Linked DNA regions of Rattus norvegicus. The protein of the gene in region 1 interacts with the protein of each later gene in a pairwise test. Links are inferred from orthologs where the notes say so. Each region holds a gene or a part of one and is shown on either strand. Other genes may lie near its edges. The genes, in order: Dtx2 and Rfx6.

Region 1 (6,668 bases):
TCCCTCAGCCCCAGACAGAGTCTCATTGTGTAACCCTGGCTGTCCAGGAACTCACTCTGTAGACTAGGCTGGCCTCGAAGTCAGAGATCCACCTGCCTCTGCCTGTACTGGAAAGTTTATTAGCTTTTAAGGTTGTTACAAGTCACACTCTTTGGGCAATGTGAGACATGTGGTGTTTTCTCTACAACCTTTAGAGATGTTAACTTGTAAGCCAACCAATAATGCCATATAGACCCATCATAAAGAAACATAATTGTGGGGGTTGGGGATTTAGCTCAGTGGTAGAGCACTTGCTAGGAAGCGCAAGGCCCTGGGTTCAGTCCCCAGCTCCGGAAAAAAAAGAACCAAAAAAAAAAAAAAAAAAAAAAGAAACATAATTGTGATTGTCTGTAAGAAGTCCATACTTGGGGTTGGGGATTTAGCTCAGTGGTAGAGCGCTTGCCTAGGAAGCGCAAGGCCCTGGGTTCGGTCCCCAGCTCCGAGAAAAAAAAAAAAAGAACCAAAAAAAGAAGTCAATCCATAGGGCAGAAAGCAATTGCATTCTTACCGAAAAGAATTTAAAGACGGGATGGGGGTGTTTTCTCCATTTTTCTAGGATATTTGGCTGGGAAGTGAATTCAGTTGACTTAAGGCAGATTTAGCAAAAACACAGTTTTAATTATGTGCTAATGCACACAATTCAAAATATGAGGCTAGAGGGGGGCGAAACAAACTGGGTTACATCTCGTCATGAGGTCAAGGCCAGCCTGGCTACATAGGGAACAGTTGTCTCAAAAAAAAAAAAAAAAAAAAAAAAAAAGAACGAAAGAAAGATTGGTTACACTTAAACTCTGGAGATGAATTAAGTATGAACACAAGATCATCAAAATGGCTCGTATCACCGAGTCTCATGCCTCCAGTTCGACCCCTGGACTAGTGGGGGAGGAGAGAACTGAAGGGCACGTTCTCAGTCGTCTATATGCATGCTGTGGCGTGACCTATCCCTGCACACAAAATAAGAATAAAAAACAGGAGTCCTGGGGTTGGGGATTTAGCTCAGCGGTAGAGCGCTTGCCTAGCGAGCGCAAGGCCCTGGGTTCGGTCCCGAGCTCCGAAAAAAAAGAAAAAAACAAACAAACGAACAACAACAACAACAACAAAAAACAGGAGTCCTTATCTGTGAGATGGAAATGAGCAGACAGGAGTTCCTTAGAGGGCTGGGGATATGATTGAGTTAGTACAGAGCTTGCCTGTAGGCAGGAAGCCCTGGGTCCCCACCCCTGTGCACCCATGAAGCTGGGTCCAACGGTCCACACCTGCAATCCCACTGCTCAGAAGGTAGAGACTGGAGGATTAGTAGTAGCAGGTCATCTCTGAAGCCAGGCTGAGGCTATTTGACACCCTGTCTCCCAAACAAACGACCCCCCTAGCCCCACTAGGAGGGACTTCTTATGCAGAGCTTTTGGGGACAGACATGTTTTCCTTGGGGCTGTCATTAAGCTCTTTCTGGCTGTATAGGTTATATGTGGGTCCTGGGTGGCTGCCGTCTGCACCAGGAAATGCCAGGTGCCATCCATTCATCAGAAGTAATGAGCAAAGCAGCTCTGTCTTATCAGACTGTCCCTCTGGAGCGTCAGATGGAGACCAATTAGCAGAGGCAGGAAGCAACACAATTCTGCCTTTCCAAGCAAAACAGTAGCAACTCCCCCAGCCCCCTCCCCCGCCCTCCGCCCGCGCGCTCCACAGTGCCGGCGCTGAGGCCAGGTCTCCTTGACTTCTCTGGCTGTGCTCTCCTTTTTGCTGGGTGAGCTGGGAGCAGATTCTGGGGAATGGAACAGGCTCTGTCACGTGAATTTTAAGGACTTCTTTTGCAAATCCAGGGTCTCCTACCTACTTGCCAGATTAAGTGCTCTACCACTGAGCCATGCCACCATAAGACAAGGCTTAACATTTTTAATAGATTACTTTCTTATTTTTAAATTTAAATGTACGTTTCTTAAGACTGTGCTTGTAGGGGTTGGGGATTTAGCTCAGTGGTAGAGCGCTTGCCTAGCAAGCGCAAGGCCCTGGGTTCGGTCCCCAGCTCCGGAAAAAAAAAAAAAAAAAAAAAAAAAAAAGACTGTGCTTGTAAGCTCAGCAGTTAGGAAACAGAGGCAGGAGATTCAGGAGTTTAAGGCTAGCCTTGGCTACATAGCAAATTCAGAGGGGGTATATGAGATCCTGAACCCCCTCCACCCCCAAAAGGTGAATCTTACAGCTGGGGATTCATTAGTACTAGAACACTTGTCTGAAGTGCTTGCAATAACTTTGGTCGTCTAAAGTGCTTGCATTAACTTTGATCCTCAACACCACAAAAAGAAAAATCAGGGGTTGGCAATATGGCTTAGAGAGTAAAGGCATTTGCTGACAAGCCTGACACCTTGAGTTCGATCCGTGGAACCCACGTGAAGGTGGACGCGGAGAAGGGGCTCCTAAAGTTGTTCCTTGACCTCTATAAGTACACCCACCTCCAGAATATACACACATAATAATAAAAAGAGATATAAAAATTATTAAAAATCAAATGCATCAGTAATTAATGAAGGAGTAAATCAGTAGGAGAAAGAGAAGGAAGGCTGGGTACCTTTACAACAGCTGGTGCGCTTTGGTTCAGCCCACTCAGCTTCACCAGAACTACATTTCCCAGAAGGCACCGCGCGAGGGGGACATGCGCAACGCGGCGCTTGGAGGCTGCGACGCCGAGTTTCACTCCGGCTGCCTCCTGCTCGGAGTCGGAGATATACTCGGGGGTTCTTCCCAGGCCGAGCCGGAGCTGAGCCCGGAGGTCGGCGCTCCTCTCAACCTGTTCCTTCTGCTTCCCTCAGACTCGGTGAGCGGGACGGGCGAGCCACCTGCTGGCGCCCAGGCTAGGGTCCTGAAGGTGGGTGGGTGGGTTGAGGAGAGGGGGCTATTGAGCCAAGCTGAGACCGGAAGGGGGCGGTCGTGCGAGGGAGGGAGGGCCGTGCCGGCGGGTTGGGTGAGTCCTGGGGGCGTTGGGAGCCCTGGGCACCGGGTACCAGGGTCCTGGAGGCGGGAAGTCGCAGTTGGGACGCTCTGAGCGTTGGGGACCGGCTGGGTGTGGTGAGAGCCTTATATTTGCAGAGACGGGGGTCGCATCTCTGGCAGTTTGAGTCCTACAGGACCTGGAAGAGCCGTGAGGCTATTGCTACCCTGGTTCCCTGAGGGGACAGTTTTAGTCATCCAGGCGATAGTGATCCACCACTGGCTGAGAGTTGGACTTTGGGGGCGTTTGCCTTTCCATTCTCGGTCTCTGTCAAACTGGGTCCCCGGGGCACTTTGGGGTGTCTCTGTTTTGAAGCTCCGCTTTTCATCCTTTCCCTCAGACAGCCGCAGGGTTGCCCATATTAGCTTTGCCTCCACAGTGGCGTAAATACGAATGTGTACACAGGCAAGACATTTAAGGAACTCCATACCATCTTGGCCCCTTTAAAGTTCTAGAGAGCCGAGCGATGTGTTGCATGCTTGTAATCCCAGCATTTGGGAGACCAGGGCTTGAGGGTAGTTTAAAGCTTGCCTGTGCTGCATAACAAGATACTATATTACACACACACACCCACACTCCCAAAAAGTGTTAGCCAGGTATGGTGATTTATGCCTGTAATTTCAGTACTTGTGAGGCAGAAGCATGAGACTCAGGAGTTCCAATCTAGCCCTAAGCTATATACTGTGGACCCTGCTCAAAAAAAAAAAAAAAAAAAAAAAACCAAAAAACAAAACATTTAGCACAAGGCCCTGGGTTCGGTCCCCAGCTCCGAAAAAAAGAAAAAGAAAAAAAAAAAAAAAAAACAACCCACCAAAAAAAGAAAAAGTAAGAGTTCTGTGATGTAGACTTCCCTCCCAGTAGCCAAGAAAGTGAGGGTTGACGTCAGCTGCTTGGGTATCTAGTCTCTTTGCTTATTTACAGTGTGACTTTGGTCAAATTTTTACCCTCTCTGGGTTGATTTACTTCATGGACCGCCCGTGGGACTTCCTTCTGAGGTCCTCATATGGGCTTTTCTGGGAAAGGGCTTAGTTGAGGGGACTGAGAAAAACTGTCCCTACTTTGTGCTCCCTGCCCAGGCTGTTGTACAATAAGCCTGGTGGTTTCCAGTCGCCTGCCACAGCACACGGGACCCAACATCTGTGCGCTCGTTTTCTCTTGCCGTTTCTTCATTGAGGACTTAATCATCTTTTTGGCAAAGGTACCTCGGAATTGGTGTGGCTGAGTCAGCAAGCCCTCGGATTTTCCCGGTTCTTGTTTGCTGTTCATATCAAGATGGGAGCCCAGACAAGTTATTGCTTCTGACGATCTCCATCAAGAAGGGACAGTTTGGTGCCAGCCCTTCAGTGAAGAGGAGGTGAGAGCCATGGGGAAATCAACCTTGCTGCTTTTGAAAGCTGGTTTCAAAGGAGGTGGGTGTGGGCATGGAAGGGAGATGGCTCAGTCCATACAGTGCTTGTCTGGCAAGCAGGAGGGTCCAGATTCGCTTTCCAGAACCAACGTAGAAAGCCTGGCATGGTGGTTTGTGCTTGCGCTTTTCTGCTAGGGAGGAGACAGGTGAATCCCTGCGGTGTGCTAGGCAGTCAACCAGCCTAGGTTGATGGCACCTGCAGAACTGTAGCCCAGGCTATCCCCTAGCCTCCAGGAACCCCTAGTGCATCTGTGCACACACGCACATTGCTTTTCTACAGACACATACATAACGAAGCAGGCCGCATGGACGGTGGGATTCTGGGGTTCCAGGAGTGAAGTGAGGCCTGGGAGTTGATTGTTGATTGCCAGCTGTTGCAAATAAATTCATTTGGCTCCTTGCCAGCGCTGCTTCTGTCTAACCAGTCTTAGAGGATACATCCTTCCTTAGACATGCCTTATGGGCTGGAAACAGCTTCGGTAAAGTGCTTAGCCAGCATACAAGACCTGGGTTCAAGCCCCAGCACTTCAAAACGTTTATTTTTTATTATTGTGCGGGCCCTGGTGCACGTGTGGAGGTGACAGGGCAGTTTGCAGGAGTCACGTCTCCCTAGCAGGTAAGTTCTGGAGATCTAAGTCAAGTAATCATAATTGGCAGTAAGTACTTTTACCCGCCAAGCCATCTGACTGGTCCTGCCTTTTTTTTTTTTTTTTTTTTTTTAAAGAAATAACGCTATCCCTACTGCACAAATCTGACCACCTGGCTTCTATCCTTGGCTTCCACGGTGGAAAGAGAGACTGGATTCCCGAAAACCATCCCTTCTACACTCCTCCATTTCAAACACAAGCCCACATTCACACAAAAATAATAAATTAAAAAGAAAATAATGCCTAGCAAGGTGATGGATGCTTGTCATCCCACACTCGGGAGGCTTAGGTAGAACTGAAGGTTTGAGGTAAGCCTGGGGTATGTAGCCAGTTCACCCTTGCATGGTGGTATAAGTTGCAATCCCAGCATTCAATAAACTGAGGCAAGAGGATCATGAGTGTGGGGCCATCCTTGGATACGTAGTGAATTCTAACCCAGCCTGGGCTACTCAGGGAGATATCTCAAAACCAAAAAAAAAAAAAAAACGACCAACAGACCCATGCTTTATGGGCCAGAGAAACAGGTCACTATCACTGCATATGAACCAGAAATGTTCATTTCTCTGTTTGCACAAACCTCTGCTGGGTGCCAGATGAGATCGCTGTCTCTCTGGCAGCTCCTCAGGTGGAAAGACAGATGCACCAGTTAGTGACATGGAGTTTCGATACGTGTAGAGAGAGCTGAGGTGAATTATGAGGTGAGCCCCTCTCCTCCAGGAGGAGGTAGGCAGGGTCAGGATGACTTGTGAAAGTGACTATGGCCAAGGCTCACTGTAAAGTAAGGCCATGCATGGAACTGTAATTGTAGTGTCAGAGGGAGAAAGCGGGAAGGAGTGTCAGCATTTGCATAGTCAGGAAGCTGCTGGCCAGGGCTGGGCCAGGCTGCTGTTAGTGGAGCTGTACCAGCCAGAACTAGAGTGACTGAGGAGTGGAGAGGCTGGGATTGTGGGCACTAGGCAGATGTAGCCGGTTCTGAAGGCCTTGAATTGTCACCCAAAGATGTGCATACACTGGAACCTGGTCTCCAATGTGCTTGTGGTTCTATGCACACTACCCTAGGGGTAGAGAGATGGTACAGTGGTTAAGGACACTTCCTGGTCTTGCAGCTGACCCTAATTCCGTTCCAAGAACCCATGTGAGGCTGCCCACAGCCATCTGTAACTACAGCTCCAGGGAATTCAGTGCCCTCTTCCTGTCTGTGTTGTCACCCTTCTGAGTATGGCCTAAAATATACAATAGCAAATCGATCTGTTTATACATGTGTGTTTGTATATATGTCTGTATGTGTTTTAAAGAGGTCATCAGCTTTGGGGGCTTCACTCGTGAGCAGACTAACGCTGACCTTGTGCTGTGAATTGTCTCCTTAAATGAGTGCTAACTCAGTTGTTTTAGGGCTGGGAATGTAGCTTAGTTGGTAGAGTGCTTGTCTACCTTGCTCAAACCCTAGGTTCCATCCCCCAGCTCTGCATAGGTGCGTTGTTTCACTTCTGTGGCCCTAGCATGCAAAGTCATCCTTAGGTACTTAGGCCAGCTTGGATGGAGTACATGAGACCTTGTCTCAAAGGTAAATAACGTTAAAAAACAAACCAAA
Region 2 (5,944 bases), on another chromosome or scaffold:
CAGAGCCTTGAGTTTCATCTGCATTCTGCATTGTTCATTTAAGTGCCTCCAGCTGCTGTCCCCATAAACACAGTGTTGATGGGAGGTAAAGAGGACACCATTTCTCTGTCACTTGCTCCATTGGAATCCAGATTATCTTGCACTGGATACTGACCAGAAGTTCCATACATACACTGGGATGAAGAGGGAGGAATCTGGGTTTGCAAATTGGAAGCTACAAGGGAAAACACAAACCATTAAAAACAAATGGATGCATTCTGTTCAAAGGCCATTCATTTTGAACCTTTGATGGTTTGGGCATCTAGCACGTATAAGGTGTTTTCAATGCAAGTGTGCATGATTCGCCAGAACAATAATATTTCCTTTGATTTTCCCACTTGTACTCCTATGTATCATTTCTACATATTTCATAGAAAAGACAAATATTATATTACATTCTGCCACTAAAAGATATCTTCACTACTTCTACCTCGTGTTCGCACCTCTGATCACCATCTCTCCCATGACCCATATGGCAGCCTCAGTCTCTCACCCTTGCTTCAGTCTTTCACCCTTTGAAGAGCTAGAAAGATGATGCTGACTTGTAAAGCAGTTGTATTCTTCTGTCAGATGACCATGACTTATACTCTAGGAACAAAATCCAGTCTTCTTGCTATGATTCACAAAATTCTACACAAACTGACTTTTGAAATTTACTCTCATATGCTTAGCTTCGCAAGGCCCATTGATTTTTCTTTCTGCTCAATTTTCCCCCTGAATTCAGAGGCTCTGTAATGACTGTTTCTTCTGTCTAGATCTTCTTCATCTGATTTTCAGTGTTTCTGGATTCCCCAGCTCTCAATTCAAATGTCTCCACCTCAGGATTCCATTCCCGACCTCTGCCTCAGAGAGCTCCCACTTTGCCAATCACCACTTTACATATTTCAAAAAAAACTTTAAATTATCTTTTAATAAACTGTCTTAGTTGAGTGTTTCAAGTAATGGGTTTATAGCGTCTTCAGTACATATAGTCCTTACACTTGTTCTGATTTGTTCCCATCCCCCACTGACTTCCCCATAGTCAGTTCCCTCTCCAGCCTGTTCCTCCTTCCCCAGTTAGTTCCATCACATGTATTCCATTACTATATATTTTCCATGTCTATTAAGAGCTCTTCCTCCTTTCTCATGATCCTTCATGGCCTACATGCACACACATATATAAATGCATCTCTCTACATATATATATAGAGAGATATACATATACATATATATAATGTTTCACATATGAGAGAAAGCATGTGGTAGTTATCTTTCTAATGAAGTTATCTTTGTAATGTATTCATTTGTATGTTCATGACTCTTCCCCTCCGAGAACATAAACCTTCTCCAAGAAGAAACTCTGTCTTGATTACCTCGGTATCCTCATACCCACAATCTGATACATAGTTGCTTTAAAAAACCTTCCTTAACATGTTCAAACGGGTCTACTTCCTTCTTGCATGGTTGATGCCTTCTCTTGTCAAGCCAACGAGCTCTCTGTCTCGAAGGATCAGGCTTCCTAACTGAATGAGCACGGAATGAGTCCAGGCCCCACTGGGATTATTCACTTGTTCTCTTTCCCCTTTCACTCTGATGCCCAGTTTGCAATCTGCTCATTAGCCAGCTCTGACAGCTAAAGCTTAGAAGCCACCATACTTCCAAGCCATGTTCCATCAACGTTTCCATTATCTCTACGAGTAAACAGAACTAATAGTAACAATAGCAACACGGTACATTTTAGTCTGATGGTGAGGACACTTCCTGAAGTGGAATTTTCTGCTTCATTAGAGTAACCTAGAAGCAATGGCTATTAGCAGATAGCAGGAGATGAGCTACTAGACTGCTCAGGTGCGTTTGTGATGGCCACAGGAAGGGAAGAAGTACTTCCTATTGAGTTATTGGAAAAGTACACTGAGTGATGAGAGATGGAATGTATTTCATTTTCTCGGTGCTTCTATTGGGATCACGTACCTTTCACTGACACTAGTATAAAAATAAATTCCACTGAAGAATGGTTTCAGGCGTCTCATGTAAACATCAACACTCTCTTTTGATATGTGATGGTTACAAACTTTCTTGGCGATACTGCGTTATTAGTTTTCCAAACTAAATGTAAACATGGCTTCAGGGTCAATACCTATGCTATCAGAAATAACTTATTAACGTCGACTAAATGTATGTATAGATTTAAGGTTATTAGCTTGGTGCTAGAAGTCAAACCCTGGGCTTCGCGTATGACAGGCAAGGAAATGTTTTGCTGCCAGAGTCATACCTGAAGCCCCTAGATTTATTTGGACTTGTGCCTCCCTCATCGATTTGTTAAGTTCCTCTGTGCAGCCAGCTAGGCAGTGCATCCAGTCCCTGCATAGATGAGGCTAAGATTGGAAGAAGCAGCTAGGAGACTTCCTGGCAGGCACACTGATATGCTTATGTGGACTTGAATTACATGCTATATATAACGATTAAAAGTAGCGACAGTTACTGCAAGGCTATTCAATCCCACTTTACAATTGAGAAAATACTAGCTGCCACCATTGCAGGATTTCTGTTAGCTACTGTAAGCATTCAGAGTGGTACGGGGTGCTAATGGTGATGATGGGGTCCAAAGATCACTCCTGACACTTTCTAGTGAGTCCAATGATGGTCGTGAAAAAAAAATGAGGAAAATGTATCATTTTTCTTCTCAGATAGTTCACTATCATTTCAAATGCCTTTGGCAAGCTGTAGTAAACTTTTTATACATAGTACATATAAGTTGTTATTTCTGGAAGAAATAGCAGATCTTAAAGAAGGTGTGTACTTAATCATTTCAAAGAATGAGAAGTGGAGATGTATTCTTTACTCAAACACAAAAACAAACATAAAATGATGATAAAATCACTTTAGGGCCATGCATGCCTCGTTCACTGAACATCTCCCCACCCCCATCCCCACCCCCCCCCCGACCCCCTAGCCAGGTCATTCTGCATAGCTAAAGCTCATGGCTTCTTACAATGCTTCCAAAGACTAGGAAAACAATTTACCCACTACAGGAGTCCGACATGTGACAGGAGAGGATGTGTGTGCATAAAACAAGTTGCTCTGCTTCCGGCCGCTGTCATCTAAAATGTTAAGTGGATCATGGATGTCACTGTAGGGAGGCAGGGAGCGAACACTGCTGATGACCGAAACGTGTTGGTTCACCATTGATCCGAGCCTATGTGCCTCTGGGTAGTTTATATTGTTTCCATAGTACCCTAGAATGGAACAAGTTGAAAATGTTCTATTTGCTCTCTGCTGAATCACCCCAGGAAAGGAAAAAGAAACATCATCGCTGGGTAAAAATATTAAATAGTCAGGATGATTTCTATTAGCTCGAGACTTGAACTCACGCCTTATTTTATAGCATGGTTTACTATAGTAGTTTTTAGATAAAAGGTAACTGGCATATTCTTCATTTTGAAACTGACTATACGTTTTTCATATTTTCTATAACTAAATTTATAAAGCATATCTATGAAGAAAGGTATAAGTACTGCTTTAAACCGCAATATTTCTCAAACAGAATTTCTCCCCACAAAGCCATGTTCATGGAAAAATTCAGGACTACACTTAGGAGAAGGTCTTTTTAAAAGTTTAATAAATCCAATGTCTTTCGATCTCCTTAACTTCAGGGTTACTTTTTTTTTGCTTTCTTTTATTTTTACAGAATTAAATAATAGTGGTTTTAGAACCAATCTTTGAAATATACTATTAATTCTCTGAAAGACATAATCTCTATTGAAAAAAATTTTTTTCAAAGGACAGATTCTTTTTTAATGTATCTAGCATAAGGTTTGACTGTTTAAAAATCAGGTATAAAAAAACCTTTAATAAAACCACAAGAATTAAGGAATGTGTTGGGGTATGGCTCTACAGCAGCTAAGATTCTGGGATATTTTACATTTTTTACTGTATATTATGAAGCTCAGCAGGTGACACTCAACGTCAGATTTTTGCTTTGCTGCCTTCTCAAGAGCCAAAAACCCACTTTAGAGGTTACGTACCATTAGGAGAATTAGAAGGTAAGGCTGCTCCTTGGCAGCTGCCAGTTCCTGCGTTACTGAGGAAATTGAAGCTCCCTGTGTTCAAAAACTGCATGTTGTGTGACTCTTGGGTTGCGGGGGATGGCCCATAACCGGAAGGCGGCCTGGAATTATACGGAGACCCAGCACAGCTGCCCCCGAAGAAGTCTCTAGAAAGCTGCTGTTCCGTCCAAGCCATGCATCGCCCGTTCTCTGCACGGTGAGCATAGAGACTTGACGCAGGGTGAGACTGTGCCCTAAACACAGTCTGATAGTTAGAGTTGGTCCCGTAAAAGTCGTGGTTGGCTGGAGGGAGGGTAGGATAAATCGGTTCTGCGTACGTCGGACAGTGCGTTGGAGCTGAGAGAGCTGTGCCCACGCTCGAGGGTCTGCCCGCCATTGGCCCTTGGTTAATAACACTTCCTCTGCTTGCTATGGCTGGAGAAATAGGTGGCGTCATCAGATGGCCAGTACTTTGTGAGAGCTCTATTTGACCTGGAAAAGAGAGTGAGACCATCCTATGAGTAACACAGTAAGACAGGGGATCATGTCTTTTAAAGTATTCGAATGATTTATTAATGCACCCTTTGTTAAAACTAAGCGACCCCTCCCTTGTATAAATAACTGGCGAATATATGTGCACACAAGTTTACAACACAGCTATTTCACAGCAGTGGTAATCTGGAGTTCATAATAGGAAAAGCCGGGGTTGTTTCAGTTTCCCTCAGGGGTTGGGGGACATTGAGGAGGATGGGGAAGAGCTGGGAGAGGAGAGGGGCTATAAAGAGGGGGAAGCACGTGATCAAAATATATTGTGTAAACTATTTTAATAAATAATAACTCACAAGTAGGAAGGGAAATGTACTATGAGGCCGACACTGTACCATAACAAACAAACGATCACAGTGCCGTCGTTTCACAGTCAGCTGAACACAGCACACAAACACCACTGGTGAGCACGGATTCACTCGCGTCTTCCACGCCCTGGGCCTATGGCTTTCAACTGGGATAATCAGGCCGCAGCATTGTGTGTCTGCTTTTGTTTTAACCTTCTGTGTGCCCAACAAATTAATCTATAAAATGAGACTGTGGTAACAGTCCAGTAGCCAACACTATATTCGAAATATTCTCTGACCTCTTGTTCAAACTACTGGAGATTTATTTTGCTGCAAAGCATAAAATTACCACATCATTATTCTAAAGTGGCTGGAAGAGAAATTGCACTGAAGCCAAAGTCAAATACGAAACCCATTCTCTAAAGTTTCTTTCTTGTTATTTTGTTTGTTTTACCTGCATGTACATCTGGCTACTCCATGCATGCCTGATGCTGGAGGAGGAGGAGGAGGAGGAGGAGGAGGAGGAGGAGGAGGAGGAGGAGGAGGAGGAGGAGGAGGAGGAGGAGGAGGAGGAGGAGGAGGCTCCATGTGAGTGCTGGGAATCAAACCCAGGTCCTTTGTAAGACGTGCTTTTAACCACTAAGCCAATGCTGTGCCCAGCAACAGTTTTTACCGCTGTCCAACCCAGCCTGGTTTGAACTCATGACCTTCTTAGCTCAGTCTCCTGAGTGCTGGGCTTACAGATCTGTGCCACCATGCCTGGAAAGCTGTCCACATTTTATCTTATAGGTATCTTAGGGATTTTATGCATAGCTAAGATACGTTTTATTCTGTTAAATGAAGAGACCTAGTCATATTTGAAATGAGCTGCCATCCATCTGTGTGTGTGATAACCATTTGTAATGGTATAAATATGAGTGATAAAGGCAAAAATCATGAATATAAACCCATAAGTTTAAAATATTTTTTAGTCAGCTAAAATATTTTTCTCCGTGGCATTCCTGGAAGTTAGCAGTGTTGAGAGAAATGAGGGGGTGGGTCTTCTGT

What was found.
Region 2: the proteins of Dtx2 (region 1) and Rfx6 interact in binary tests that used the Homo sapiens proteins (3 or more experiments, as listed by UniProt). The two-hybrid records come from large-scale screens. The link is inferred for Rattus norvegicus from reciprocal best matches to the Homo sapiens genes DTX2 and RFX6.

Annotation. Positions count from the first base shown.
Region 1 is NC_086030.1:26,315,544-26,322,211, reverse strand, and holds the start of Dtx2 (probable E3 ubiquitin-protein ligase DTX2), read left to right. Parts: upstream 1-2,704; 5' UTR 2,705-2,848; exon of another isoform or gene 2,849-2,899; intron 2,900-4,220; 5' UTR 4,221-4,376; intron 4,377-6,668. UniProt on the Homo sapiens protein: Regulator of Notch signaling, a signaling pathway involved in cell-cell communications that regulates a broad spectrum of cell-fate determinations.
Region 2 is NC_086038.1:31,609,319-31,615,262, reverse strand, and holds part of Rfx6 (DNA-binding protein RFX6), read right to left. Parts: intron 4,557-5,944; coding exon 4,044-4,556; intron 3,255-4,043; coding exon 3,042-3,254; intron 215-3,041; coding exon 39-214; 3' UTR 1-38. UniProt on the Homo sapiens protein: Transcription factor required to direct islet cell differentiation during endocrine pancreas development. Specifically required for the differentiation of 4 of the 5 islet cell types and for the production of insulin.